Linked DNA regions of Anolis sagrei. The protein of the gene in region 4 interacts with the protein of the main gene of each other region in a biochemical or structural test. Links are inferred from orthologs where the notes say so. Each region holds a gene or a part of one and is shown on either strand. Other genes may lie near its edges.

Region 1 (7,121 bases), on a different chromosome or scaffold from region 4:
ATACCATGGGAACATGACAGAGCAACCAAAATGTGAAAGGATAAAGGCTAACTAGGGAAGGGATTTGCTTCTGGGGCAAAGTGACTTGGTTGGAATACAGTGCTGGGTGCAAACACTAACTTTGAGAAGCTTTTCCTCAAAAGAAGAGCAGGGAGGGAGGTGTCTCATTGCATGAAAGCTGACGTATAAAACCAGTGAGGGTTATGAGGGCTGGACAGCTGCAACAGCCTTGGCAGAGTGTTGAATTGCTGTCTCATCCTTGCCGATGGGAGTTTGAAATCAGCAGTAATCCAAGACCTTGGCAAAAACAGAAACAAAACAAAACTCAAGAAGCAAACTTTTTCTTTTCCAAAGCCTGCCAGGGCCCTAGGATGCCTTTTCTGTATAATGCAAAAAATGTTGTAATGTTTGAACATTTAATCAGTCAATCTTTTTAACCTGCCTTTTAAGCAAACTCTCCTAGAGCTGCTCACAATAAAAAGATGTTAAAACAATGGCTGAGCAAATATAATAAAAACAGTGTCTGACGCAAGACCTATTCTTATGGTCACCAGATTTCTTTGAACAGTGAGAATTTCCACGTATACAATGCTTTCTTGCTTTTAGTTCCTTTGAAAGACGTTCACCAGGGGTTTATTGGTTACTGGTTATTTGTTTACTTTTTATTGTACTTTATCAATAATCTCTCAGCCCTCCATTTATACACAGGTTGAGCAGAGATGGGGACATGGCTTCAACATTCCCGCTCAAAATCCTCTGCTCACATCAGACTGCCAAAGAAGTAAACAACATTTTAAGCTGCCTCAAATTCAACTCTCTCAGGCCTTTCCTTTGAGTTTCCTTAAGCTCTATCCCAATACTTTGCTACCTTTTACAAATATCTAGAATGCTATGTTCTTAGACAGGGGTCCCCAAACTAAGGCCCTGGGTCAACCTAAGTCTGAAATGACTTGACAGCACACAACAACAACAACAACAACAACAACAACAACAACGACAATCCTATCTGATCAGCTAAAAGCAAGCCCATACCTCCCATTGAAATGCTAATTTTATATTTGTTAAAATTATTCTTAATTTTAATTATTGTATTGTTTTAAAGTGCGTTTTGACTACAAATAAGATATGTGGAGTGTGCATAGGAATTAATTCATGATTTTTTCCCAATTATAATCCAGCCCTCCAACAGTTTTAGGGATTGTCGCCTGGCCCTCTGAACAGTTTGAGGACCCCTGTCTTCATATGAAGAGAGACAGATTTGATTTTTTTTCATCCGATACAGAATATTGCTCAAACAACCCAGAACTGAGAAACAATTATAGATATATATAGCTGTGAGACTGTATTCTGTGTGTGTGTGTGTGTGTGTAAATAACAGTCTCACAGCTATATATTGTTGGTTGTTTATCTAACAAGAGCTGTGGCAGGTCAAATCCAGTTATGAATCCAACTTTAAACAGCTCTTACGACCATTAGCTGCAGCCTGGTCAGTCTTACAACAGTGGTGTTTCCAAACTCTGGTTTTCCAAGTATTTTGGATTCGGCTCTCAGAATCCTCACTAACCGATCAAGACACTTGAGGCTCCTGGGAGTTGAAGTTCATAATACCTGGAGGACTAGATTTTGCAAATCACTGGTGCATAGTGTTGATGTGACTATAGCATATCAAGCATGTGTCTCCTTGCCCCAACTATAAATATGAGTCTTGGAACAATAATAGGCCAAAAAAGTCCAGTAAAATTTGACTTCAGGTATATCATATGGTTTGAGCAGTAAATTTTGAGGACAAAGCATTGGAGGGTAGAACTGGCAACTTCTACCCTCCTTAAATTGTTTAAGGTGGATTGAAAGAGTGATTAATACCTAGTCATACGCAGCCATTCTATTCTATTGTTGTTTCAAGAAATAGGTTTGGTTCTATTGGCCTTTGAAAACCCCTTTAATGAGGAACAAAAGCCGAAGAGACACCCATCTGCACAACACAGGAAGAAAACAACTCACCTTCAACTACTTTTTAATTCTCTTTCAAGGTAGTATCTGTAAATGCTAACATATAAGCAAATAGGGAAAGAACATAGATGAGCATGTATTCACCGAAACACAGATGGGTAACTGTACCCATATTCCGTATTAGAACCATGAACATATACAAACATGATTCTATGATGCTCTGTGTTTGCTTATGTGGACACAAGTGTACCAGTGCAGACACACACACACATCAATGGACTAGACTGCTTCAGACCATGTCATACAATCTAGCATCAAAAGATTGCACAAATCTTCTCTTTGCCATTGAATTTTGATTACTCTTTCTTGTCCTGGACATACATGTGGATGCATAACTATTAATGCTCTCAACAGTATATTGGCACAGCCTCAAATGTAGGTGCAAGTATCTAACCTCATTACATGCAAAGGCACAGTTGTGTTGTCTCACAACTACAAAATGACAATTTACAAGTAGAATTACCTCTGTGTTCCAGAGAAACAATTACAATGGTATCACAAAACAGATATGAAGTTCTTATCCTCACCGTTGAGTATTTACAAATACCACATACAAAAGAAGTTGAAAGCAGGCTTGACCCTTAATGGGTTTTTTTCTACTACCAGGAGATGGGAATATTCCATCCTGGAGAAGATATGAATCCATTTGCTTTACTCTTTAAGGAGTCTCAAACCACACCTACCCACCAACTAAGAGGCTTAGCTTCCAAATGAATAATGATGACTCTCATGCCTGGTCTTCACACTTCATGACCTCCATGACCACAACCCCCCGAGATGAGTGGTTACCTTGTAGAGGACAGCAACACATTCCTTTGCCCAGGGCTGGTGGATGCTTTGCAGGTGGGGTGGGGTGACTGTGGTGTTCCAGACACAACAGAAGACCACCCCTACAGCTCTCCTTTGGTGCAAATTCTGGGTCTCTTGTATGCTGCGCACCTTCTTGAACTGAGTGGCCCCGCTGGCCAAAGCCAGGACGCCGACACCGTCTTCTCCACTTTACTCCAAAGAGATTCTGCCTGTAACTGCGCAAAGGGTTCTTTCCACGCCTCCAAACCCCTCCCTTCCCCTGGCTGCTGAAGTCCCATATGCTTCACACTCAGCTAAGATGACAGGACTGGATGCTTCAAATAGTGACGACTACGGAGGATCCATCCGGCATGGCTCACTCTGTACCCTTCCCATCTTCTGACAGCCCCCTCCCTTCTCATCCCTTGCTCTCAGTCCCCAAGATGCTTAATTAATCTGAAGGACCATCATGAAGAAGGTGGCCACGGCTGCTCCACTGCATGCAGGTCAAATCTGTCTGGGTCATTCTTCTTATGGAACAGAAGTCATCTGGAGACACTGAGCGGCTCAAAATGCAGAGGGTGCCAAGCTATTTTTGTCCACATAAGAGATGGAGACAGGCAGGGCCATGTCAGGCCAACTACAGACTATAGCCCCAAAAAAGGGAGGGAGAGGCGGCCTCCTTACCAAGCCGAGCTTTCAAGCTCTTCATGTAAAATTCAGCTGCTGTAAAGGCATACTGAAAGTCACCTGAGGTCACGTATGTATATGGGGTATCTGTCCAAACAAACTTTATTTGTTGTGGTAAGGGGAAGGGTTAACCATTCCCTCCCATCTTTTACTCAACCCAGGCTGATAAACTTTTAACAAGGGGAATTCATGCCAGTCGTATCCGGGGAAGCACTTTTTATTATAGTCCTTACAAGAAACGTGACTGCATCTCACTCACAGCTTTTGTGCAGCGAAAGGAGAGCTTGAAGCGATGAATAATCCTCAAGGCAACACAAGCATTTGCCTCCAGGTATCCGGTCACAACATGGCAGCTGGTGAGAAGTTAAAATCAATATTTAGCCTTGGAATTACAAAATGGCTTCCCTGACTTTGTCAAATATCGTGCCCTTCACAGAAGAGCTGCACCTAGTGGCTTCAGTCAGCCAGAATAAGCATTTTCACATCCATACTGTCATGGGTTACAAGGGACCTACCTTAGGCATCCATGCACTAAAAATACAAAAACAAAGGTTGCAATTAGAAATTTTGCAAAGGAGAACAGGCTAAAATACAGACATTTAACAAAGCCTCTGACAATGAAGTTCCATTTTACAAAGCCTTTTTATGTCTTTTTCTCCTCTTTTCCTACTTGATCTTCGTTGAATCTGTGAGGATTTTAGCAGCATTAATGATGAATGGAAGAATTGCAGTTGTGGTGCAGAAGTGTCTCTGTAGTAAACAATGCATAGAACCATAGAGTTGGAAGAGATCACATGGGTCATCCAGTCCAACATCCTGCAATAAAGCAAAGGCAATAAACTTTGAATTAGGAAAGAATGTGATTCTATTCCAACCAATCCTACTGTAACTGTGTGTTACAAGGTATACAGCAAATTCCTCCAGAATCCCTTACTGACTTACTAAAAATAGCAAAATAGAGAGAAATTATGAGAGTAGATAAGCATGCCTCAACCAACTCTTCTTCTGCATGTTTAATAATAATAATAATAATAATAATCTTTATTTCTACTCCGCCACCATCTCCCCAATGGGGACTCGGAGCGGCTTACATGGGGCCAAGCCTGGACAACATAATACAGCAGTAAAATCAAAACATATACAGCAAACAACAACAACATCATCAAAATAACATTAAAAGAAAAAAAATCATAAGATAAACACAATCACAGTAAGGATGAAAATGGGTGAGCCACATATTCAGGATAAAAACAGTTAAACTATAATGAGATAAAATAGGGGCGGAGCATTTATATGGAACTCATAAAACACACAGAGTTGTGAGGCTAAACATCGTATTTGAAGGGCATGAACTCCAAAAAGCACTGATTTATAAATTTGGCCTTCAAAATGGAAACCACCAGAAAACCTGGACGATGTCAAGAAAGAGTCTGGAAGAAACCAGGGAACTAGCAGGTAAAATCAAAACAAAAAGAATCAGGAGGCCTCAATATTTCCAGGAATTTGCTTCTTTTCGGATGAGCCTTATTTTCCTTATTTAGCACTCTGATTTATTCTACAGTATATGTTATTTGAGATGGTTACATTTATAGTTTACATAATTGTATTACATTGTTTCCATTTATTAACTACAGAACATCCAAAATGCTCTGAACTCTTTCTTGCCACAAATAACTTGTGTTGGTTTATGGTAGAGTAATCCAAACATTTCATGCTCTCTAGCAGAGAATTTAAGTACTTAGATCAGAGCTTTCCAAACATTGCATGTGTGGGTGACACACTTTTTAGACCTGCATCATTTTGCAACATAGTAATATAAACCTTTCATTTATATTCTTAAAAATATACGATTTACTGTTTTCTCATAGACTCAGAGGTTGTTTTTTTGTTACATTCATGCAATGCATTCATGCTACACACATACATAATGTCTTACTATGCATTACTATGAGTCAATATAGAGGAAAATCTATATCAGGGGTCCTCAAACTTTTTAAACAGAGGGCCAGGTCACAGTCCCTCAAATTGTTGGAGGGCTGGATTATAATTTGGGGAAAAATGAATTAATTCCTATGCAAACTCCACATATCTTATTTGTAGTGCAAAAACATTTAAAACAATACCAATAACTAAAATGAATAACAATGTTAACAAATATAAACTTATTAGTATTTCAGTGGGAAATGTGGGCCTGCTTTTGGCTGATGAGATAGGGTTGTTGTTGTTGTGTGCTTTCAAGTCGTTTCAGGCTTAGGTTGATCCTGAGTGAGGGCTGGGTAAATGACCTTGGAGGGTCATATCTGGCCCCCGGGCCTTAGGTTGAGGACCCCTGATCTATATACTATATATTATGTATCTTTTCGGCACACCAGCCCTATGTGTCATGAAATATATGATGTACAATTGAATGGAATTGTATGAAAGATGAATGAATGAGAGCTAATAATTTTGGAGACACCATTCTGAACACTAAGGCCTGGAGGACAGATACACTCGGGGACTTTAATTAAAGATTGCCAAACTGCTGACATTAATAACCAGTGACAATGATTAACTGTTGAACTTTTGGGGGAAAACAACATGTTTACATTGATAAGAGACAATACCTCTTTAAGTTAAGGAAATTCTTACAAGATTCCTTATGTTCAGAAGGAACTCAACACAAGCCTTGCATTTACCAACACCAATTAAGAAGAGTCAACATCTGTCCAGGAAGCGATGAAGCCAGGATGTTTCCAACTGGAAAAATATCTATCATTTATTTACAACTTTGGAACAACATCAGCAGAAAATTGTTATACAAGAGACCTTATTAAAATTCAAAAATAGTGATAGACAGTGGCTGTTAAACCAACCCCCCCCCCCCCCCCCCCCAATGCTCTGCTCCTTGGGAAAGAGAGAGATGGTGTATGTATTTGGGAGTGACAGATCTGCAATGGAACGCAGTTTGGTCACTTGCCTCCTTTTCTCAAGGGAAGAGAAAGGAGTGTAATTTTGGAGTTTTGGATTTTGTGCAGGGAGTCAGTTTCTGCTATATGGAAAACAGGGATCTGATCCTTGGCATTGTTTTTAGGGAAAGAGGATGCATTTTAGAATTTTAGAAGTTTTAGAGGTTTTTGAAATATTGGGAATCTGACTTAAGATATGTTCTTCTCCAGGAGATGACGGAGGAATGTATGCATGAAGATGAATATATGGGTAATGTGAATGCCCCTGGGCTGAGAACAGCGGTATATAAGCAAAGTAAATAAATAAATAAATAAAATGCTGAGTAAAAATGTAATTCCCCTTTGTTTGTTTGTTAGCCAGTGTAGGTTGTTTGTGCATTCAATGTAGTTGCATTAAAACTGCATGCCTGCATGTCAAATGTTGTTCTGTAAAAATTTAAAAGTTCTGATATCCTTTCTCATACTGGAAAATCGCAATAAAAAGAATAAATAAACTTTATTTATACTCTGCCACCATCTCCCCGACAGGGACTCGGGGCGGCTTACATGAGGCCAAGCCCAGACAACATATTACAGCAAAATAAAACCAAAACATAAGCAACAAGCAACAACATCATAAGTACATAAGAACATATACTTTAAAGTTATTGAAAAGTTATTTATAACATATATACATTAAGAGGT
Region 2 (7,188 bases), on a different chromosome or scaffold from region 4:
CCTCTATCCAGATTCTACAGTCATTTTAGGGCACATCTACACTATAGAACAAAAGATGTTTGACACCAAGGCTCACTGTTACGGAATCCTGGGATCTATAGTCAGGTGAGGCACAGAAGGCCCAAGGCCTTGTAAAACCCCAAATTCCCAGGATTCCATAGCAGTGAGCAATGACAGTTCCAAGTGATGTCAACTTCATGCAGTTTGACACCACTTAAACTGCCATGGCCAAATGCTACAGAATCTCGGAGTTTGTAGTTTGGTGAGACACCACTACTACAACAGAGAAGGCTTGAGAACTTGGAAGATCACAACTCCCAGGGTTCCATAGCACTGAGTCATGGTAGTTTCAGGTGGTGTCAAATCAGCGCAGTTTAATGCTACTTTGCCTGCTACAGTTGAGTGGAATCCTGAGAGTTATATTTTGGGGAGAAGGCGAAAGACTTTGGAAAACAAGAATTCCAAGGGCTCCATAAAACTGAGCCATAGCAGTTCCAAGTGATGTTAAATCTGCACAGTTTGATGCCACTTTCATATGGTTGAATAAAACCCTTGGAATTAGACCAGTGAGGTGAAAGACCTCGTAAAGCTACAACTCCCTTGATCCCACTGCATTGAGCCATAGCAGTCAAAGAGATGCCACAGAGAGTTCATTGTATAGTCTAGATCAGGCATGGGCAAACTCTGGCCCTCCAGGTGTTTTGGACTTCAACTTTTTTCCATGTCAGGAGTGACTTGAGAAACTGCAAGTTGCTTCTGGTGTGGGAGAACTGGCCATCGACAAGGACATTGCCTGGATGTTTTACCATCCTGTGGGAGGCTATTTTCATGTACCCACATGAGAAGCTGGAGTTGATAGACGGGAGCTCCCCCTGCTTCCCAGATTTGACCCGCTGACCTTTCAGTCAACAGTCTTGCCGGCACATGGGTTTTACTCAGTGGTTCTCAACCTGTGGGTCCCAAGATGTTTCGGCCTTCAACTCCTGGAAATCCTAACAGCTGTTAAATTGGCTAGAATTTCTTGGAGTTGTAGGCCAAAACACCTGGGGACCCACAGGTTGAGAACCACTGGTTTAACCCATTGTGCCACTGAGGGCTCCAGCCAGTAGGCTGTTAGGAATTGTGGGAGTTGAAATCCAAAACACCCGGAGGGCCAAAGTTCTCCCATACCTGGCCTAGATGAACCCTTACAGTAGGCTGTTAGGAATTGTGGGAGTTGAAGTCCAAAACATCTGGAGGGCCCAAGTTTGCCTATGCCTGGCCTAGATGAACCCTTACAGTAGGCTGTTAGGAATTGTGGGAGTTGAAGTCCAAAACACCAGGAGGGCTGAAGTTTGCCTCTGCCTGGCCTAGATGAACCCTTACAGTAGGCTGTTAGGAATTGTGGGAGTTGAAGTCCAAAACACCGGGAGGGCCGAAGTTTGCCTATGCCTGGCCTAGATGAACCCTTACAGTAGGCTGTTAGGAATTGTGGGAGTTGAAGTCCAAAACACCTGGAGGGCCGAAGGTTGCCTATGCCTGGCCTAGATGCACCTTTATAAAGGGCATTCCAGAGAGGAAGTCAAGCGAGACTCCACTGGCCCAGGAAGGATGCTCTGTCTCATCTGCCTCCCTCGCCTCCACACCCTCAACTGCGCAGGTAGCAGGGACACATCCCACTTCCTCCCAAAGCCCTCCAACTTCTTTCCCATTTCAAGCCTTTGCAGGGCGAGAGAACAAGAAGGAGAGAAAGGGACCCCAATAGCCTCAAGATAGTGGGGCAGACTGTGGCACAAAAAGGGGCCACGCGGGTGGGGTGGAGGCAGAAGAGTTATTTTGTTCCCATTGTGACCCCCGAAGCCATCCCCATCCGAGAGGAAGCGGCGCTTTTGTTGATATCCCCAAACCCCTCCTACCCGAGGCCGGCGCTGAAGCAGAACCGACCCGCATCCCGCCTCGCTCCTCCCGAGGCCCAAAGCGTGGCCCCCGGTGAACCCCTCCTCCTCCTTCTCCTCCTCCTCCTGCCCTCTTCCTTCCTCCCACCCGCACCCCTGAAGGACCTCCCCTCTCCTTCCCTCATGTCCGACTGCTGGAACTTCGCCAGTCCCACCAGCTCCAGAAGCAACAGGCGGCCTGACCTTTCCCTCTCCAGCCGGCCACGGCGCTTCCCTCCTCCTCCTCCTCCTCCTCCTGCTTTTCTCCCTCCTCCTCTTCCTCTCCCTCCTTTCCCCCCACAGGACACAGCAACCAATGCAAGACCCGGCCTTGCCTTTTTTCCCAGGGAGCGCCCACCCACCCTTCCTTCCTTCCTAAAAAAATGGAAAGAGGCTGAGCAAGAGCAGCAACAGCAAAGCCCCCTTGGACCCATCTCCACATAGAAAGGCATACTTCTCTCTCGGCGCCCCTTGGAAGCTCTGCAAAAACAGAAGCCAAGCCGCCTCGAGGACGCCCCCTCCTCAGGGAAAGGGAGGGGGGAGGATGGAGGAGAGGGGTCGAGGAAGCCCCAGAAAGGCTGCCTCCAACGCCTCCCGCCAGGAACAAAAGCCAGAGCCGGGATGTTGCCTGCTTCCTTGGCGCCGCTTCCGAGAGGGAGAGAGACACACATACATTTGCACAATGTATCACGCAGCACATTTCGCTTACCAGGCCGGGTCTGCTTCTCAGTCTCCAGAGCTGCCCCCCTTTCCCTCCCCAAGTCCGGCTGCGGGTGGGCTTTGGAGCTGAAGGGTTAATTTCCCGCTCAGTTGCTTCTCCAGAGATGACCCTCCACACATACACACACTTTTCCCCCCTCACGAGTTCAGCTCTAGGTTTGGAGCTGAAGGGTTATTGTTTGGTTCAGCCCTGGGGTTTTTCTCTCTTTGAGCCAGACTTGAAGGGGGGCCTTTTCCCTGCCCCTCTGCTCCCTTTCCCCTCCTGAAGTAACGGGAGGATAAACACACAGACAGCCATGAAACTTAATCCCGCCCGGCCATGGAGCGGCTGGAGGTCCAGCCTCTTCAGTTACACACACACACACACACAGCCCCGTCGCCTCCCCTCCTTTCCCTCCAAGGCTTTGCGAGGAAGGAACCATGACAACAGCAGAGGCAGCCACAACAGGAGGGGCTCCGAAGGTGCCCTGCGAAAAGCGCGATTCTCTTCTGCCAAGGCTGGCCTAGATTCTGGGTTGCTGTTTTTAAACCCAGGCGGAGAAGGAAGGAAGGAAGGAAGGAGAGAGAGAGAGAGAAAGGCAGGAGAAGAAGGGGCAGGAAAAGAGTGCGAGGAAAGAGTGGGCTGAGGCCTCTTCCAAGGTTTCTTTGAGCCTTGCTGTTCTTTGTGGGGAAAGAAGTTGCCTGGAATTCCATTCACTATATTGTCCAAGGCTTTGATGGCCGGAATCACTGGGTTGTAGGCTTTTTGAGCTGTATGGCCATGTTCCAGAAGCATATTCTCCTGACGTTTCACCTGCATATAAGGAAGGCATCCTCAGAGGTTGTGAGGTCTGTTGGAAACTAGGGAAATGGGGTTTATATATCTGTGGAATGTCCAGGTGGGAGAAAGAACTCTTGTCTGTTGGAACTAAGTGAGAATGTTTCAATTGGTCACCTTGATTAGCATTTGATGGTCTGACAGTTTTTAGGAGACAGTTTTTAGGAGACATGATAGCCATGTATAAATATGTGAGAGGAAGTCATAGGGAGGAGGGAGCAAACTTGTTTTTGCTGCCCTGGAGACAAGGACATGCATGGCTTCAAACTACAGGAAAGGAGATTCCATCTGAACATTAGGAAGATTTCCTGACCGGGAGAGGCGTTCAGCAGTGGAACTCTCTGCCCTGGAGTGTGGTAGAGGCTCCTTCTCTGGAAGCTTTTAAACAGAGGCTGGATGGCCATCTGTCAAGGGTGCTTTGAACGCAATTTTCCTGCTTCATGGCAGGGGGATGGACTGGATGACCCATGAGGTCTCTTCCAATTCTATGATTCTATAGGTCTGCCTTGTTACTCCCCGGGGGAATCCATTGTTGGGAGGTAATGGCTCCCCCCCCCCCCCCCCCGGTCTGGAGCGACTTAAGAAACTGCAAATCGCTTCTGGTGTGAGAAAATTGGCCGTCTGCAAGGATGTTGTCCAGAGGACGCCCAGATGTTTTGATGTTTTACCACCCTTGTGGGAGGCTTCTCTCCTGTCCCCACATGGGAGCCAGAGCTGACAGGGGAAGCTCATCCACGCTCTCTGCAGATTTGAACCTTCGACCTGTCGGTCTTCAGTCCTCCTGGCACAAGGGTTTAACCCATTGTGCCACTGGGGTTAACTGTCCCTGATTGTTTCTTGTGATTCCCTCAGCCAGTAACAAGCCACACTTTAAAACTGTCCCCCATCAAATGCTAATCAAGGTGGCCACCTGAAACATTTATACATAGTTCCAACAGACAAGAGTTCTTTCTCTCACCCTGAACTTTCCACAGATATGTAAACCCCATTTTCCTAGTTTCCAACAGACCTCACAACCTCTGAGGATGCCTGCCACAGATGCAAGCAAAGCATCAGTAGAGAATGCTTCTAGAACATGGCCGTACAGCCCGAAAAACATACAACAAACCATTCCATTCACTGTTTGACATTTTCTGGTCATTTCTGCAGCCCCTTTTTTTGTCACAATGTCCTACATGCAACCGTTGTTACTTGTTTTCCACAAAGCAAGTAACTGACAAGTCTACATAGGAGTTGCCAAACGCAGCACCCAATCACGAATCGAGGAACATGAAAGGCACTGCAGACTAACTCGATCAGAGAAGTCAGCCATAGCAGAGCACTTGATGAACCAACGTGGACACAGAATATTATTTGAGAACACAGAAATGCTGGACCACTCTAACAACCGCCACGTCAGACTACACAGCGAAGTCTTTGAAATCGACAAGCATGTGGACAATTTCAACAAACTGGAGGAAACCATGAAAGTGAACAAAATCTGGCTACCAGTTTTTTTTAAAAAAAAAAACCTCTAAAATCACAACAGTAAATAAAGAACAAAACTCTAAAACAGGGGAATTCCGGACAAGAAACAATCAGAGCTAGCTAACATCTCCCAACAAAGGATTCCCCCAGGCAGCAACCAGCCAGACCTTGAAACTTCTAGCTATTCAATGCTATTCAAGGTGGCCATTGCTTCAAACAGACAAGAGTTCTTTCTCCCACCCTGGACATTCCACAGATATATAAACCCCATTTTCCTAGTTTCCAACAGACCTCACAACCTCTGAGGATGCCTGCCATAGATGCAAGCAAAACGTCAGGAGAGAATGCTTCTGGAACATGGACATACAGCCCAGAAAACTCACCTCAGCCAGTGATTCCGGCCATTAATGCCTTCAACAATACAAGTAATTGGCTTGTTTTGTTTTTCCAGGTTAAAAGCTAGTTTGTTTGTGCCAGCCTTTAAAGAAATGCAATTGTGCCACTTAGGACGCAGCTGCTGATTTCACTCCTCTTATTGGCTTGTTTTTTCTTTCCATTTCTTCCAGCTTGTTTTGAGCCGCCTCACAGGAATCCTGTTGAAAGCGAGGGTCTGGCCCAAGTCACCAATCCCAATGGAGGCTGTAGCCAAGAAATCAGAAGACTCAAAAGGACCTGTTTGAAAGAACAAGATTTTCAAATTTATTTATTTATTTACTATATTTATAGCCCACCTTTCTCAGCCATATGGCAACTCAAGATGTACAATTAAATGTAAAGATATACAATTAAATGTCAAAATCAGGCTCATTCAGGCCATAGGGCTTAAAGCTCACATTAAAAACTGGCATAGATACTGAGAACACCAAGAAGCTTTAGGTGCTCTTACTGCCTATTACAGGGAAAACTAGCTGATTCCTAAACCATCTAAAACTCAGATGTGTGTTTTTCATCTTAAGAACAGAGAAGCATCCCAAGCTCTGAGGATTACCTGGGAAGGAATCCTACTGAAGCATTGCAGCACACCCAAATACCTTGGAGTCACTCTAGACTAGGGGTCCTCAAACTTTTTAAAAAGAGGGCCAAGTCACAGTCTCTTCAAACTGTTGGAGGGCCGGATTATAATTTGAAAAAAACATGAATGAATTCCTATGCACACTGCACATATCTTATTTGTAGTGCAAAAAGCACTTAAAATACAATAATTGAAATGAAGAACAATTTCAACAAATATAAAATTATTAGAATTTCAATGGGAAGTGTGGGCCTGCTTTTGTCTGATGAGATAGGATTGTTGTTATTGTTGTGTGCTTTCAAGTCATTTCAGACTTAGGTTGACCCTGAGCGAGGGCCGGGTAAATGACCTTGGAGGGCCGCATCCGGCCCCCGGGCCTTAGTTTGAGGACCTCTGCTCTAGACCGTGCTCTGACTTATAAGAAGCACTGCTTGAATATCAAGCAAAAAGTGGGTGCTAAAAATCATATCATACGAAAGCTGACTGACACAACCTGGGGATCAGAAGAGGACACAGTGAAGAAATCTGCCCTTGTGCTTTGCTATTCTGCTGCTGAATATGGGTGCCCAGTGTGGAATACATCTCACAGTGTTAAAACAGTGAATGCGGCTCTTAATGAGAAATGCTGCATTATCACAGGCTGTCTATGTCTTACGCCACTGGAGAAATTACACTGTTTAGCCAGTATTGCAACACCTGACATCTGTCGGGAAGTAGCAGCCAGTAATGAAAGGACTAAGGCATTGACATCTCTGGCCCATCCTCTGTTCAGATATCAGCCAGCACACCAATGTCTTAAATCAAGAAATAGCTTCCTAAGATCAACAGAGATACTCTCAGGAAAATCTTGACAAGCAAGAGTCCAAAAGTGGCAGGCTAAAACCCGGAACCTCAATCAGTGGCTGAGACCCAATGAGAAACTCCCTCCTGGGCACACAGAAGGCTGGGCAACTTGGAAGGCACTAACAGACTGAGTTCTGGCACCATGAGATGCAGAGCCAACCTTAAGAAATGGGGCTACAAAGTGGAGTCCATGACATGCGAGTGTGGAGAAGAGCAAACCACAGACCACCTACTACAATATAGTCTGAGCCCTACCACATGCACAATGGAGGATTTCAGTGACAACAGAGGCATTCCAAGTGGTCAACTTCTGGTTAAAGTACTTTTAGCATAATACCAAGTTTTTACCTTTGTTTTTTTTATACATTATGACTGAATTCTCAATTTGCTTCTGACACGATAAATAAATAAATACC
Region 3 (6,873 bases), about 1.8 Mb from region 4:
ACCCAGATAAACAAACGGTGATACTAATGCCATAAAGATAAGCACTTCACCTTTTATTACTAGATGATTCTACAGGGTTGGCCTTACCGTTGGGCAAAGTAAGGTGGCTGCCTTAGGCAGTGGATGTGCAGGAGCCTTGAGGAATAGGTTTTGCTACGGAGGAGGATAGATATTCACCCGCATTCTCTTCTTTGTGAAATGGAGTTTTGGGTGAGTAGCTGGTCCAGCCATCATAAAAGAGAAAGTTTGTCCCTTGTTGGTTTCTGCAGGTTGAACGGGAAGAGAAGGACTATTATGTCATTTGTCTAAGGCAGCAGTATTCCTGGTGCCGGATTTGCTCATTTTAAAGAGTGTGCCTATCTCCCAGTTCATTTCAAGTGTGTCGGGTTAGGGTGGGTAAACACACATATTCTGTATGTGGTACAGAGCCATAAAGGCTTGGAATAACCTTCAACATACTTCTGTGATGCACCAGAGTTTGCCAGTTTGCCTTTCAGACCATGCAGGGTAGAGAACAAAAGGAAAGCCTGCTGCCTCAGGCCCTTGGGATATGGGTTTAAATATTCACCCACAGTGGTTTCCTATGAGAGAATGCATCCAGTATCTCTGGTTTCCACACTTCCCTTAAGAGTGAATTCTGCCATCCCTCTAACCAGAGGCTTGTGTGCTTTTGTCAAAGAGTTTATGTGGAGGCCATCACAGCCAATATCTTTAAATAGCTTTAGCCACATGATGAACTACAGCCAGTCCTCTATACTCATGGGTTCAATCATCTATGGATTCAATATTTCACTGTTTAAAAATATTAGAGACATTGGGAAAGCAAATTTTGATGTTATCATTTTATATAAGGGGAAACCATTTTACTAGACCATTGTATATAATGAGACTTGAGCACCCACAAACTTTGGTATCCTCATGAGGTCCTGGAGCCAAACCCTACCGGATACCCAGGAAGTGATTTATTATGCAGATCAGACAGCTTTTCTCTACACTACTGCAGGAGTACTGGGAAAAAAAATGCTTCCTTGCATAAAATAGCTAATGTGGTAAAAATTGTCTGGTTTGCATTAAACAGATAATGTGGTGACAATGTTTCTCTCTGGTTTGTGTGTTAGATTTCAGCAATATTATGCTTATTCATGTGTAATTTTCATGCAAATACTGCAAAAGATGTAGAAAATGTCCCCCCAGCAAGATCCAAGCTATGAGTTCCTGGGGAACTCTTTTCATGCTATGTGGACTTTCACTTTTGTATCTATTTCATAGAGATTATTCATTATAACCATCAGTTATAATGTTTACTAGGAGCCCCCCTTGGCACAATGGGCTAAACCATTGGACGCATGTCCGAATCCGGGGAGGGTGCGGATGAGCTCCCTCTGTCAGCTCCGGCTCCCCATGCGGGGACACGAGAGAAGCCTCCCACAAGGATGGTAAAACATCAAAACATCCAGGCATACCCTGGGCAAAGTCCTTAAAGACAGCCAATTATCTCACACCAGAAGCGACTTGCAGTTTCACAAGTTGCTCCTGACATGAAAAAGAATTGTTTACTAGGATGGTGAGGGACCAAGATTCAAATCCCCACTCAATCATTGGAAACCATTGGGTAAGTCACACTCTCTCAGCCACAGACAAAGGCAAGGGCAAACATTCTGGGAAAAGTATATGTGCTGGTACAGCTGTACCAGGAGCTCCAACTTCTTTTCCTTTCTATTGAGTGTTTGCATGTATTCCAAAGTTCCATGCATTTTGCAATAAGGTGGCTACCCTTGATTTGCAATAATAGGGCCAATGACCCATCAATTAGCATTATGTTCTTTAGTTCTGCCCCTTTTTCTGGGTTAAGGAGGGAAAAAGGGGACCTCCAGTTCACACAGAGAAGCCTTTCGTACAGGACGTAAATCAGTTCCTGTAGAAAGCTTCGTCTTTTACAGCTTTGCTGGGGGGTTCTAGCCCCACAGCTCTACAGATAACTACAGTATAGCCTTTGTTGGGGGATTTAGTTCCACAACTCTACAGCCAGCTCTTTGCTGGAGAAATACAGCTCCACGGTTTTACAGCCAGCCTTCACTGGGAATTGAAAGCCTTCTTTCCTCTTGGAAATCTACTAAAGGACTCTGTTTGGTAAGGACCACTTGCGGCAGCCATAAAGCAATTTGGATCGGGTGTAGGGGCCCACGCCAGCAGAGCTTAAGCCAGATTGCCCAGGGAGGGGTTGTGGGGGGGGGGGGGTTAGAGCTCTCTGCGTTTTCCAGGCTGATTGAGCTTGAAAAATGGGAGAGGGCTGTGTAGACTGCCCCTCGAAAGACCCAGAATTTCCGAGGGGGCAGTCCAGACAGCAGGCATAGTGGGTGAGACACGGGTCTTTCAGGAAGACCTGGATCTAATTCACTATCAAATTACTTCAGGGCAAAGCGAGGTTTTCCTTCTTTGTCCCAAAGAAGTTTGTTTTTACATGGGGCGTTGTTTGGATGCCCCACATAAAAATCCAGGAAGCCACGTGTTTTCCACACTGTGTGGATGCACCTCTAGATAAAATAGAAAATTAGCCCAAAATCAATACAATTAATAGATTCTAGATTCTTTGGAAATCTGTTCTTGTCTTTCAGTGTATTTGCCACCCATGCAGTTTTGTGTCACCTGCAAACCTGATAACAATTTCCTCTACCCCACTAATAAAAATATTGAAGAGTAATGGCCCTAGGACAGAAGCTCAATACCTCCTTTCAGTCTTAAGCGTAGCCATTGATATTGACGAAGGCTTTTTGAGCACAGCTTTTCAATCAGTTATGGACCCATCTCATAATGTTCCCACTGTAATTAATCATTTTGCTAATCAAAATACTTTGCTGAAATCTGATAACTGTAAGATTAGTCTGGCAGGGATTTGAAGATTATCGCCAAAACTGTGACTGGAACCCAGAAACAGACTGGAAATCAGTGTAGAAGTGTTCATGATTAACAGTTTGGCCTGCCTTTGGAACCAATTTTTGTTTATTTCGGAGGCAAAGCCATGGGAATACATGATAGAAGTCCAGATGTAAGGTGTACGTCTTTGGACCAAACCTACAAGCTCTATAAGTGAGCATACTTGGCATGTCAGCTGGCATTGAAGTGGCAAATTTTTGGTTGTAGTCAATATCTGGGCACTCAGAACTAAGGGTGGTTCCAGAAAATGATCTGCTTCCCTTCATCTTATTTCTTAGATCTCTACTAGGTTTTCTACTCTATGACATTAAATCTCTTTTTAGCTAGAATCAAGTAAAACAGTTGCAACCAATCTGCTACCTTCTGTGATAGTACAGCCAGTTCCTTCTTATCACCATTTTCAGACTTTTTCAGCACATTATAGAAGAAATGGCATCTGATAAACACTTCTTTCTTGGCCCTTGTTCCGGGGAGAGATTTTGTGTGTAGATAATGAGGTTAATAAAGGTGTGGCTACACTTGTGAGATGGCTTTTCCCTACCTAATTGACACATGTTTTGCGTATTTTGGGTGTTTATTTCCTAGATTTTACTGTTATACGTCAAATTAAAAAAATGCTGCTGTTTGTTACCGTTAATATAAATTATATGTTCATTTGAAAGAGATAAGAAACTGTTTAGATGCAAAACCATGACATATACTTTTTGTGTGGCCTTTCTGATAGCGAAGGCACTGCAGTCCGTCCGCAAAACTGCTTCCTCCGCCCACCATATGCTACTTCCTCCTTCTCAGAGTCACAGGGTACACTAGTGGTTTTTCCCCTCCTCCTCTGTGGTTTCTTCTCCCCCGACCCCACCACTGCTCTTTCCTGATTGTCTCGTCTTCTTTTCAGTTCTCTTGAGACTTGATCTTCCTGTCCAAGTGCTACATTTGTTGATGGCTTTAGTGAGCCAAAGGAATATAATTATTGGGGATACTTTTCTAGAGATTGATCCAGTTCCATATAGATTTCTGCAGATCTCCATTATGACTTGCTGGAGAAAAAGAGGAGGCAAAAAGGTGTGTGAGAGGGCAGTGAGTATTGCTTTAGTGTTGTTGGTTGTAACTGTTTCATAAGCCCTGTGCAAATATTATTAAAATGACTATGAACATTTATACAGTAGACTCTTGGCTAACCGGCACCCATGGGAATTGGTAGATGCCAGATAAATGTAGTTTCTAGTTGCTTGGAAGTTACGATTTTAACTAATACAGTGCCCCATAAAAAACCATAAACTCTGTATTGACTCGATATTAATTTTGAAACAAGGTACACAAAAGCGAATATAGACAAATAAAGACAAACCATATATAAAGTCACACAGTTATACTGTTTTGATGTATTATAAAACTAGCTTTTGTGTTTAAAGTATTATTTCTTTGATATTTCTGCTAGTTGCTTGAGGGTTCTGGTTGTTTGAGTTCTGGTTAATGGAGAGTCTGCTCTATAATAGGACTTAATCCATACCTTTCCCCCCCTCATTTTACGCTGTTTTATTTTATTTATTTTTTTGGTCTTTCAATAAGAGAAGTATAGCCAAATTATTTTAAAGATAAACTAGATACAACTGACCTCTTATTTTTCTGTCAGCTCCATTAACATGGGTTGGGGGATTACGTGAAAAGTAATCATGCAGGATAGAAAATCTGATCCTCCCATATCCAGACATATGTACTGTACTTCCCCTCCATTGCGTTCTTTTGCTATATTATTCCCTTCTTGGGGTTTGTTCTGGGGATTTAGATTAATGAGCAATAGACCAAAAGTAATGTGAGTTTTTGAGAGAGGGATTCACATGCTGATGCCATTATTAAAATTAAAGGCAAGCTGTGGTCATGGGTTCTCCCGTTAGGGGAGGGGTATCTCGCCCCTCTCCAGGTGGATCAGGATGTATGTAGTTGCTAAATTGTTTGGGGTCAGCATCACAAAGGAGTCAAAGATCACAGGAGACCACTGACCAGTGAGGGTGATCTGGTTTGGGAAGCCTCAAGATATTTCTGTTGGCAATCATAAGGCAGGAGAGGGACAAAGGAAGACAAAGGAATGATGTACCCTGCCTCACCGGGGAGGAAACTTGGTTGAAGCTGAGCAAAGCATCCAGACTCCCAGCTCCCATGAACATCTAAAACTAGGATTCTGTTTGTATAGTGAGTAGAATAGGGATTTCTCAGACATGTTAGACGATTTTGCTTCTTTAACCTCAGCTAAATATGACCTTGGCTATTTTGTAACTTCTCTAAGGGTGCCTAATAGAAGATTATTTCATGTAAAAACATTGTTGTTGTACCTTCAAGTCGTTTCAGACCCATGGTGACCCTAACAGAGTTTTTTGTTGGTCGGAGTATGTTACCCACCCAAGATTACCCATTGGTTTCCAGGGTTGAGTAGAGAATCAAATCCTGGTCTCCAGAGTTATAGACCAGCGTGCAAACCTCTACAGCAGAAATGCAGGGTGCATCTATACCAGGGGTCCTCAAACTTTTTAAACAGAGGGCCTGGTCACAGTCCCTCAAACTATGGGAGGGCCGGATTATAATTTGGAAAAAAAAAAGAATGAATTCCTATGCACACTGCACATATCTTATTTGTGGTGCAAATCCGCTTAAAAACAATACAATAATTAACATGAAGAACAATTTTAGCAAATATAAACTTATTATTATTTCAATGGGAAGTGTGGGCCTGCTTTTGGCTGATGAGATAGGATTGTTTGTTGTTGTTGTGTGCTTTCAAGTCATTTCAGACTTATGTTGACCCTGAACGGGGGCCGCGTAAAAGATCTCGGAGGGCCGCATCCGGCCCTCGGGCCTTAGTTTGGGGACCCCTGATCTATACTATAGAATTCATGCAGTTTGACATCTCTTGAACTGCCATGTTCAAGGTTATGGAATCATGAGAGTTGTAGTTTTACAAGGTCTACAACTCGGTGTATTCCAGGAAGTCATGGGGTCATGGAGGTTAAAGCAGTATTAAATGTCATTAATTCAACAGTGTAGATGCACCAGTAGATTGCTTGCTCAAAATAAAAAGATTGCTTTTTCATACTCTTGTCACATGCCTTTTGCTCGCATTCTCATCCCTCACCACAAAGGGGGAATAGGAAAGTCTCTATAGAGTCCAAGAGGGAAAAGACCACGTCAACCCATCAGGAGTTTCCCACTGAGCCAGGGGGGCTAAATCAGTAGGTGGAGGCAGCTTAGATGATTTCAAGGAGTCCCATCCACTTGGGATCAGGAGCAAAGCTTTCATACAAGCACACATTCAATCCTCTATTTTATATACAATCAAGGAGCATAGAGAAGAGACACCTTAGGCTGGAGACATATGGGTGTATCTGTTGCAGCCCAACCACCTATGTGGCACCTTTTCACCCAAAATTAATTAGTCCAAGTATAGCTCAGCCAACAGGAATCAATCAACTTATTTAAAGTTTATTAAAGAAAAGAGTGTTATATAGAACAAGCTAGTTCAATAGTACATTCCAGAGTACAAAATAGCAAAGTATTCTCCAGGTATACATAAAAGGCAACAACAGAAGTACAACCCAAATAGTGACTTCAAAAATAATTCCAAAATATAGGTTACAGTCACAGTACACAGCAGAGTCCAATACTGAAACCAAGTAAAAAACCCATAAAACATAGACAAAGAACTGTATCCAAAATATTATTTCCCAATATCAAACAAGAAAACATGACATGAAAACAAGGCCAGAATCTCCTATCCAGAGAACATTAAAAATGACTATCTCTTGAAAATTCAGTCTCTCTCACACAGAACAATTCAAGGGGCTAACTTAAACCGATTTCATTCCCATGGAGACGCTATCAGTCTAACACGTGGAATCCCGTTGTTTATTTTTCAAATACTGGGAAAACCTTAATTGTCTTTCCTTGGCA
Region 4 (7,009 bases):
AAGTCACTCCTGACACGAAAAAAACAAAAACAAAAAACCAACCCAGAATATCAAGGCAGAAATTTACACAATATTGGCTTAGAATTGGGTTATCTAAGTCCACACTGCCATATATTCCAGTTCAAATCAAATAATATAGGATTTATCCAGCTGTGTGGAAGGAGCCTAACTAGTCTCTGAGAAGTCTTAGGCCCCTACTTCACTGCCATATAAAATCCAGATTATCTGCTTTGAACTAGATTATATGCAGTGTAGACTCATAATCCAGTTCAAAGCAGATAGTATGGATTATCTGCTTTGATTATCTGAATTATAAGGCAGTGTAGAAGGGGTCTTAGACTGGATCTACATTTCCCTATATCACAGATCCGATCCACAATTATCTGGCAGTGTAGACTCATATAATCCAGTTCAAAGCAGATAATCTGGAATCAGATCCTGGCATATAGGACAGTGTAGATCCAGCCTTACTCAAATGCTTACAATTCTATTGTTACCCATTGACACGGCAATCCAATACCACACATTCTTAACATTCACAATTCTTCAATAAAAATGCCATAAGAGAAATGGGGAAAAAATTAGCAGAGTCCAGGTCATGATCACCCTAAGGCATTTTGGTGACTGAGGCTGGATCTATACTGCCATATAATCCAGTTTAAAGCAGATAATCTGGATTTTATATGGCAGTGTAGATCTAGCCTGATATAATAGGGCTGGATCTGTGTTGTCGAAAAATGTTGTTCCTCTTCTTTATAGCCTTTATTCCTTATAAAGAAACTGCCAGGGCTGAAAGATGATGGGGAAATGGCTCAGATGTTGCCACCTGAGAAGTGGTGGCTTCACTGTTTTTCATTAGGGAGCCGGCCCAGATGCAGCCATGCTGAACTATTCCTAAATGTGGAAACTGTGAGTTGGGTATGCTCAATTGCACTCTGCGAAAGACTGGCATGCCAACCGAGAGTGACTAATGTGATTTATGGATACTTGGTTTACTTTTTAGCATACAAATGTTGAGTATCTCTTATCCGCAATGCTTGGACCAGAGTGCTTTGGATTTGGGGTTCTTTGGGTTCCTGTATTTGCATATTTGCACACAAGGAGATGTCTTAGACATAAGACCCAAGTCTAAACCCAAAATTATAAACAGCCTCCAACTAAGTTTATGTAATATATATTTTAAATATATATATATAAATGAAGCACAAGTTTGTATACATGAAACCATCAGAAAGCAAAGGTCTTGTTATCTCAGGCCCTCTTGTGGATAATTTTGGATTTTGGGGTGTATTTTGGAATTCCGGGTAAGGGATGCTCAACCTGTATCAGTAGCAATGCATGGATTGTTAGACCTCTCTCAGAATAAGCGAAGTTTCAACTGAAAGGAGGAAATCATGAAAATAAACAAAATCTGGCTACCAGTATTTAAAAAATAAACTCCAAAATCAGGACAGTAAATAAAGAACAACACTCAGAAGACAGGGGGATTCCAGACAAGAAACTATCAGGGCTAGTAACACCTCCCAACAAAGGATCCCCAGGCAGGAAGTAGCCAGGCTTTGAAGCTGCAAGGCTATTCAAAGCTAATCAAGCTCGCCAGCTGAAATATTTGCACTTGCCTCAAGCAGACTAGAGTTCTTTATCCAGCCCTGGACATTCTACAGATATATAAACCTCACTTGCCTAGTTTCCAACAGACCTCACAAGCTCTGAGGATGCCTGCCATAGACTCAAATAATGTGGGATTTTCTGCCTTGGTATTCTGGGATATAGAGCTGTGTGGAAGAGCACCGGGTTATCTGAGTCCACATTCAGTTAATGTGGGATTTCCTGCCTTGATATTCTGCGATATAGGGTTGTGTGGAAGGGCCCCAGGTTATCCGAGTCCACACTCAGATAATGTGGGATTTCCTGCCTTGATATTCTGGGATATAGGGTTGTGTGGAAGGGCCCCGGGTTATCTGAGTCCACACTCAGTTAATATGGGATTTGCTGCCTTGATATTCTGGGATATAGGGCTGTGTGGAAGGGCTCCAGGTTATCCAAGTCCACACTCAGTTAATGTGGGATTTCTTGCCTTGATATTCTGGGATATAGAGCTGTGTGGAAGGGTCCTGGGTTATCTCAGTCCACGCTCAGTTAATGTGGGATTTCCTGCCTTGATATTCTGGGATATAGGGCTGTGTGGAAAGCCCACAGGCTGTGTAGAAGGGCCCCGGGTTTTCCAAGTCCACACTCAGTTAATGTGGGATTTCCTGCCTTGATATTCAGGGATATAGGGCTGCGTGGAAGAGCCCCAGGCTGTGTGGAAGGGCCCCAGGTTATCCGAGTCCACACTCAGTTAATGTGAGATTTCCTGCCTTGATATTTGGGAATATATATTGGGAATATATTTGTGAAAGGGCCCCGTTATCTGAGTCCACACTCAGTTAATGTGAGATTTCCTGCCTTGATATTCTGGGATACAGGGCTGTGTGGAAGGGCCCCAGGTTATCTGAGTCCACACTCAATTAATGTGGGATTTCCTGCCTTGGTATTCTGGGATATAGAGCTGTGTGGGAGAGCACCGGGTTATCTGAGTCCACATTCAGTTAATGTGGGATTTCCTGCCTTGATATTCTGCGATATAGGGTTGTGTGGAAGGGCCCCAGGTTATCCAAGTCCACACTCAGATAATGTGGGATTTCCTGCCTTGATATTCTGGGATATAGGGTTGTGTGGAAGGGCCCCGGGTTATCTGAGTCCACACTCAGTTAATATGGGATTTGCTGCCTTGATATTCTGGGATATAGGGCTGTGTGGAAGGGCTCCAGGTTATCCGAGTCCACACTCAGTTAATGTGGGATTTCTTGCCTTGATATTCTGGGATATAGAGCTGTGTGGAAGGGTCCTGGGTTATCTCAGTCCACGCTCAGTTAATGTGGGATTTCCTGCCTTGATATTCTGGGATATAGGGCTGTGTGGAAAGCCCACAGGCTGTGTAGAAGGGCCCCGGGTTATCCAAGTCCACACTCAGTTAATGTGGGATTTCCTGCCTTGATATTCAGGGATATAGGGCTGCGTGGAAGAGCCCCAGGCTGTGTGGAAGGGCCCCAGGTTATCCGAGTCCACACTCAGTTAATGTGAGATTTCCTGCCTTGATATTTGGGAATATATATTGGGAATATATTTGTGGAAGGGCCCCGTTATCCGAGTCCACACTCAGTTAATGTGAGATTTCCTGCCTTGATATTTGGGAATATATATTGGGAATATATTTGTGGAAGGGGCCCGTTATCTGAGTCCACACTCAGTTAATGTGGGATTTCCTGCCTTGATATTCTGGGATACAGGGCTGTGTGGAAGGGCCCCAGGTTATCTGAGTCCACACTCAATTAATGTGGGATTTCCTGCCTTGGTATTCTGGGATATAGGGCTGTGTGGAAGGGCCCCGGGTTATCTGAGTCCACACTCAGTTAATGTGGGTTTCCCTGCCTTGATATAATGGGATATAGGGCTGTGTGGAGAGGCCCTGGGTTGTCTGAGTCCACACTCAGTCAATGTGGGATTTCCTGCCTTGGTATTCTGGGATATAGGGTTGGCATTTCCCTTCCTGAGGCATTTAGAACTGGGGGGTTTATGTGGAAAGGCACCCTATATAAAGTGTTCGTAGTTTAATAAACTTTCCCCATGTTTTTATGACAGGACCAATTAGGAAATGGCAATGATAAGTCAGGCACTGAAACCGTGTTACGTAGCGTTGTGATTATTATTATTATGTGTTGAAAAGGCAATTGACTTTTCCACAAAAGGGGAGAGAATCCCACTGCCTCAGACACAAGAGCTGGGAGCAAGCGCCCAACGGTCTTCCTGAGGCGCGCGCGAGGCGAGAAAAGAGGGTGCGCGAGCGAGCGAGGGAGAAACAAAGGGGCGTGGCTGCGAGAGAGAGAGAGAGAAAGGGAAGGAGGGAGGGGAGAAGCCGGAGGGGGGAGTTGGACGCCCCCTCCCTCCCTCTCCCGCCAGCGCGCGCGGCATCCGAGGTTGGATGTGTCGCGCGCCGCCCGCGCTTCCTTTCTCACTCCTCGCCTGGCTTTGGAAGAGGTCAGTCAGTCAGTCGGTCCGTCGGGAGGGACGCTCGCTGCTGGCGTCATGAAAGCCTCCTGGGCTCTCGAAGTGGCCTGGCTGGCGGCGCTTCTGGGCTGCCCGGCAACAGGTGGGTGAGCGGGGTGAAGCGGAATAGGAAGGGAGGGGGCGTGTGTTAGGGCACCTGAAGCAAAGGCTCCTTCAGCGCCGCCTCGCTCGCTTCTTTTCCCCGGTCCGGCTTGAGTTAGGCGCTCCACGCCCTCCTCGGTGCCGCTTCCAAAGGCTTGGCTTTGAAGTTGCATCCCAAGAGCTGGAAGCGTCCCTGAGGCGCGCGCGAGGGAGCCAGGAATTGATTATTATTGATTATTACAATATACTAGCCGTCCCCTGCCATGCATTGCTGTGGCTCAATCTGGATCCCCCGGTGGTGCAGTGGGTTAAACCCCTGTGCCCTCAGGACTGAAGACCCGACAGGTCAGAGGTTCAGATCTGGAGAGGGCGCGGATGAGCTCCCTCTGTCAGCTCCAGCTCCCTATTCGGTGACATGAGAGAAGCCTCCCACAAGGATGATAAAACATCAAACACATCCGGGCGTCCCCTGATGAACGTCCTTGCAGACGGCCAATTCTCTCACAAATCCGGGGAAAGTACGAATGAGCTCCCTCTGTCAGCTCCAGCTCCCTATACGGGGACATGCGAGAAGCTTCCCACAAGGATGATAAAACATCAAACACATCCGGGCGTCCCCTGGGCAACATCCTTGCAAATGGCCAATTCTCTCACACCAGAAGCGACTTGCAGTTTCTCAAGTCGCTCCTGACACGACCAAAAAAAAGAAAAGTCTGGTGATTTGGAAAATAAAGTAATGAGAAAGTGTTGGTTTCTAATATATGTAATTTCTTTATGCTTGTTGTTTCTTTGTCAGTGTTGATGTGGAGATTGTCAGGTTTGCCTACTCTGGAACATGCGACATATAATTGTCCTTAGAATCATAGAATCATAGAGTTGGAAGAGACCTCATGGGCCATCCAGTCCAATCCCCTGCCAAGAAGCAGGAATATTGCATTCAAATCACCCCTGACAGATGGCCATCCAGCCTCTGTTTAAAAGCTTCCAAAGAAGGAGCCTCCACCACACTCCAGGGCAGAGAGTTCCACTGCTGAACGGCACTCACAGTCAGGAAGTTCTTCCTCATGTTCAGATGGAATCTCCTTTCTTGTAGTTTGAAGCCATTGTTTCGCGTCCTAGTCTCCAGGGAAGCAGAAAACAAGCTTGTTCCCTCCTCCCTGTGGCTTCCTCTCACATATTTATACATGGCTATCGTATCTCCTTCTTTAGAGGTCCCTTTCAAAACTATGATACTATATCAGTCATATACATAAATGTGTGTGCGTGTGAATCATGTAAATCTGTGTATATCTATGGCTGGATTGTCCTTTAGTGGGCCATTTCAAATCTATGACACTATATCTGTCATCTACATATATGTGTGTGTCAACATATCTATCTATCTATCTATCTATCTATCTATCTATCTATCTATCTATATCTATGGCTGGATGGCTCTTTGTCAGGAGGGCTTTGGTTATGTTTTCTTGCCTTGGTGAAGGGAGTTGGACTGGATGGTCTTAAGTCAGTGTTTCTCAATCTGGGAGTCGGGATTCCTGGAGGAGTTGTGAGGGGGTGTCAGAAGGGTCGACAAAGACCACCAGAAAACACAGTATTTTTGGTTCTGTGTGGGAAATTTGACCCAATTCTATCATTAGTGGGGTTCAGAATGCTCTTTGATTGTAGGTGAACTGTACATCACAGTAACTACAACTCCCAAATGTCAAGGTCTATTTCCCCCAAACTCCATCTGTGCTTGTATTTGAGCACATGGAGTATCCGTGCCAAGTTTGGTCCTGATCTATCATTGTTTGAGTCCACAGTGCTCTCTGGATGTAAGTGAACTACAACTCCAAAACTCAAGGTCAATGCCCACCAAACCCTTCTAGTGTTTTCTGTTGGTCGTGGGAGTTCTGTGCGCCAAGTTTGGTTCAATTCCATCATTGGTGGAGTTCAGAATGCTCTTTGATTGTAGGTGAACTATCAATCCCAGCAACTACAACTCCCAAATGACAAAATTAATTTTTTTAGTGATGATCACTCCTTGGGTTAGTAGGTGTCTTGTGGCCAAATTTGGTGGCAATTCGTCAAGTAGTTTTTGAGTTATGTTAATCCCACAAACGAACATTACATTTATATATATATAGACTAGAACTCCCAAACTCAAGGTCAATGCCCACCAAATCCTTCCAGTATTCTCTGTTTGTCTTTTGAGTTCTGTGTGCCAAGTTTGGTTCAATTCATTGGTGGTGTTCAGAATGCTCTTTGATTGTAGGTTAACTATAAATCCCAGCAACTACGACTCCCAAATGACTTAATTAATTTTTTTGAGTGATGATCACTCCTTGGGTTAGTAGGTGTCTTGTGGCCAAATTTGGTGGCAATTAGTCCAGCGGTTTTTGAGTTATGTCACTCAAAATGAACAGCATTTTTATATATATAGATGATCATAGGTATAGGCAAACTTGGGCCCTCCAGGAGTTTTGGACTCCAACTCCCACAATTCCTAACAGCTTACCGGCTGTTAGGAATTGTGGGAGTTGGAGTCCAAAACCCCTGGAGGGCCTAAGTTTGCCCATACCTGTATTATCCTCATCCTCATCATTATCTGTGTCGTGGGGTGCATCTCCACTGCAGATTTCAAGCACCTTTACTCCACTTGCACTGCCCTGGCTCAATGCTATGGAGTCCGGAGTGTTTGTTTGTTTTGCAAGGTCTTGAGCTTGCTTTGCCCAAACGTGCAGGTGCCTCAGTACACTACAAATTCCAGGATTCCATTGCAGTTGAATAGGTATCACAGCATTCAGAGATGCTTGCACAGACACACCCATTTTCCCGA

What was found.
Region 1: the proteins of KIT (region 4) and GRB7 form a complex in vitro, tested with the Homo sapiens proteins (3 studies listed by BioGRID and IntAct, with this or other methods). The link is inferred for Anolis sagrei from reciprocal best matches to the Homo sapiens genes KIT and GRB7.
Region 2: the proteins of KIT (region 4) and MPDZ form a complex in vitro, tested with the Homo sapiens proteins (2 studies listed by BioGRID and IntAct, with this or other methods). The link is inferred for Anolis sagrei from reciprocal best matches to the Homo sapiens genes KIT and MPDZ.
Region 3: the proteins of KIT (region 4) and TEC form a complex in vitro, tested with the Homo sapiens proteins (2 studies listed by BioGRID and IntAct, with this or other methods). The link is inferred for Anolis sagrei from reciprocal best matches to the Homo sapiens genes KIT and TEC.

What each region holds. Positions count from the first base shown.
Region 1 is NC_090026.1:42,671,198-42,678,318, forward strand, and holds the start of GRB7 (growth factor receptor-bound protein 7), read right to left. Parts: upstream 3,006-7,121; 5' UTR 2,822-3,005; coding exon 2,800-2,821; intron 1-2,799. UniProt on the Homo sapiens protein: Adapter protein that interacts with the cytoplasmic domain of numerous receptor kinases and modulates down-stream signaling. Promotes activation of down-stream protein kinases, including STAT3, AKT1, MAPK1 and/or MAPK3. Promotes activation of HRAS.
Region 2 is NC_090022.1:214,825,244-214,832,431, reverse strand, and holds the start of MPDZ (multiple PDZ domain protein), read right to left. Parts: upstream 3,015-7,188; 5' UTR 2,623-3,014; intron 2,448-2,622; exon of another isoform or gene 2,368-2,447; intron 2,181-2,367; exon of another isoform or gene 2,118-2,180; intron 1,965-2,117; exon of another isoform or gene 1,896-1,964; intron 1-1,895. UniProt on the Homo sapiens protein: Member of the NMDAR signaling complex that may play a role in control of AMPAR potentiation and synaptic plasticity in excitatory synapses. Promotes clustering of HT2RC at the cell surface.
Region 3 is NC_090025.1:75,990,726-75,997,598, forward strand, and holds the start of TEC (tyrosine-protein kinase Tec), read left to right. Parts: upstream 1-3,858; 5' UTR 3,859-3,870; coding exon 3,871-3,993; intron 3,994-6,873.
Region 4 is NC_090025.1:74,176,268-74,183,276, reverse strand, and holds the start of KIT (mast/stem cell growth factor receptor Kit), read left to right. Parts: upstream 1-3,998; 5' UTR 3,999-4,128; coding exon 4,129-4,192; intron 4,193-7,009. UniProt on the Homo sapiens protein: Tyrosine-protein kinase that acts as a cell-surface receptor for the cytokine KITLG/SCF and plays an essential role in the regulation of cell survival and proliferation, hematopoiesis, stem cell maintenance, gametogenesis, mast cell development, migration and function, and in melanogenesis.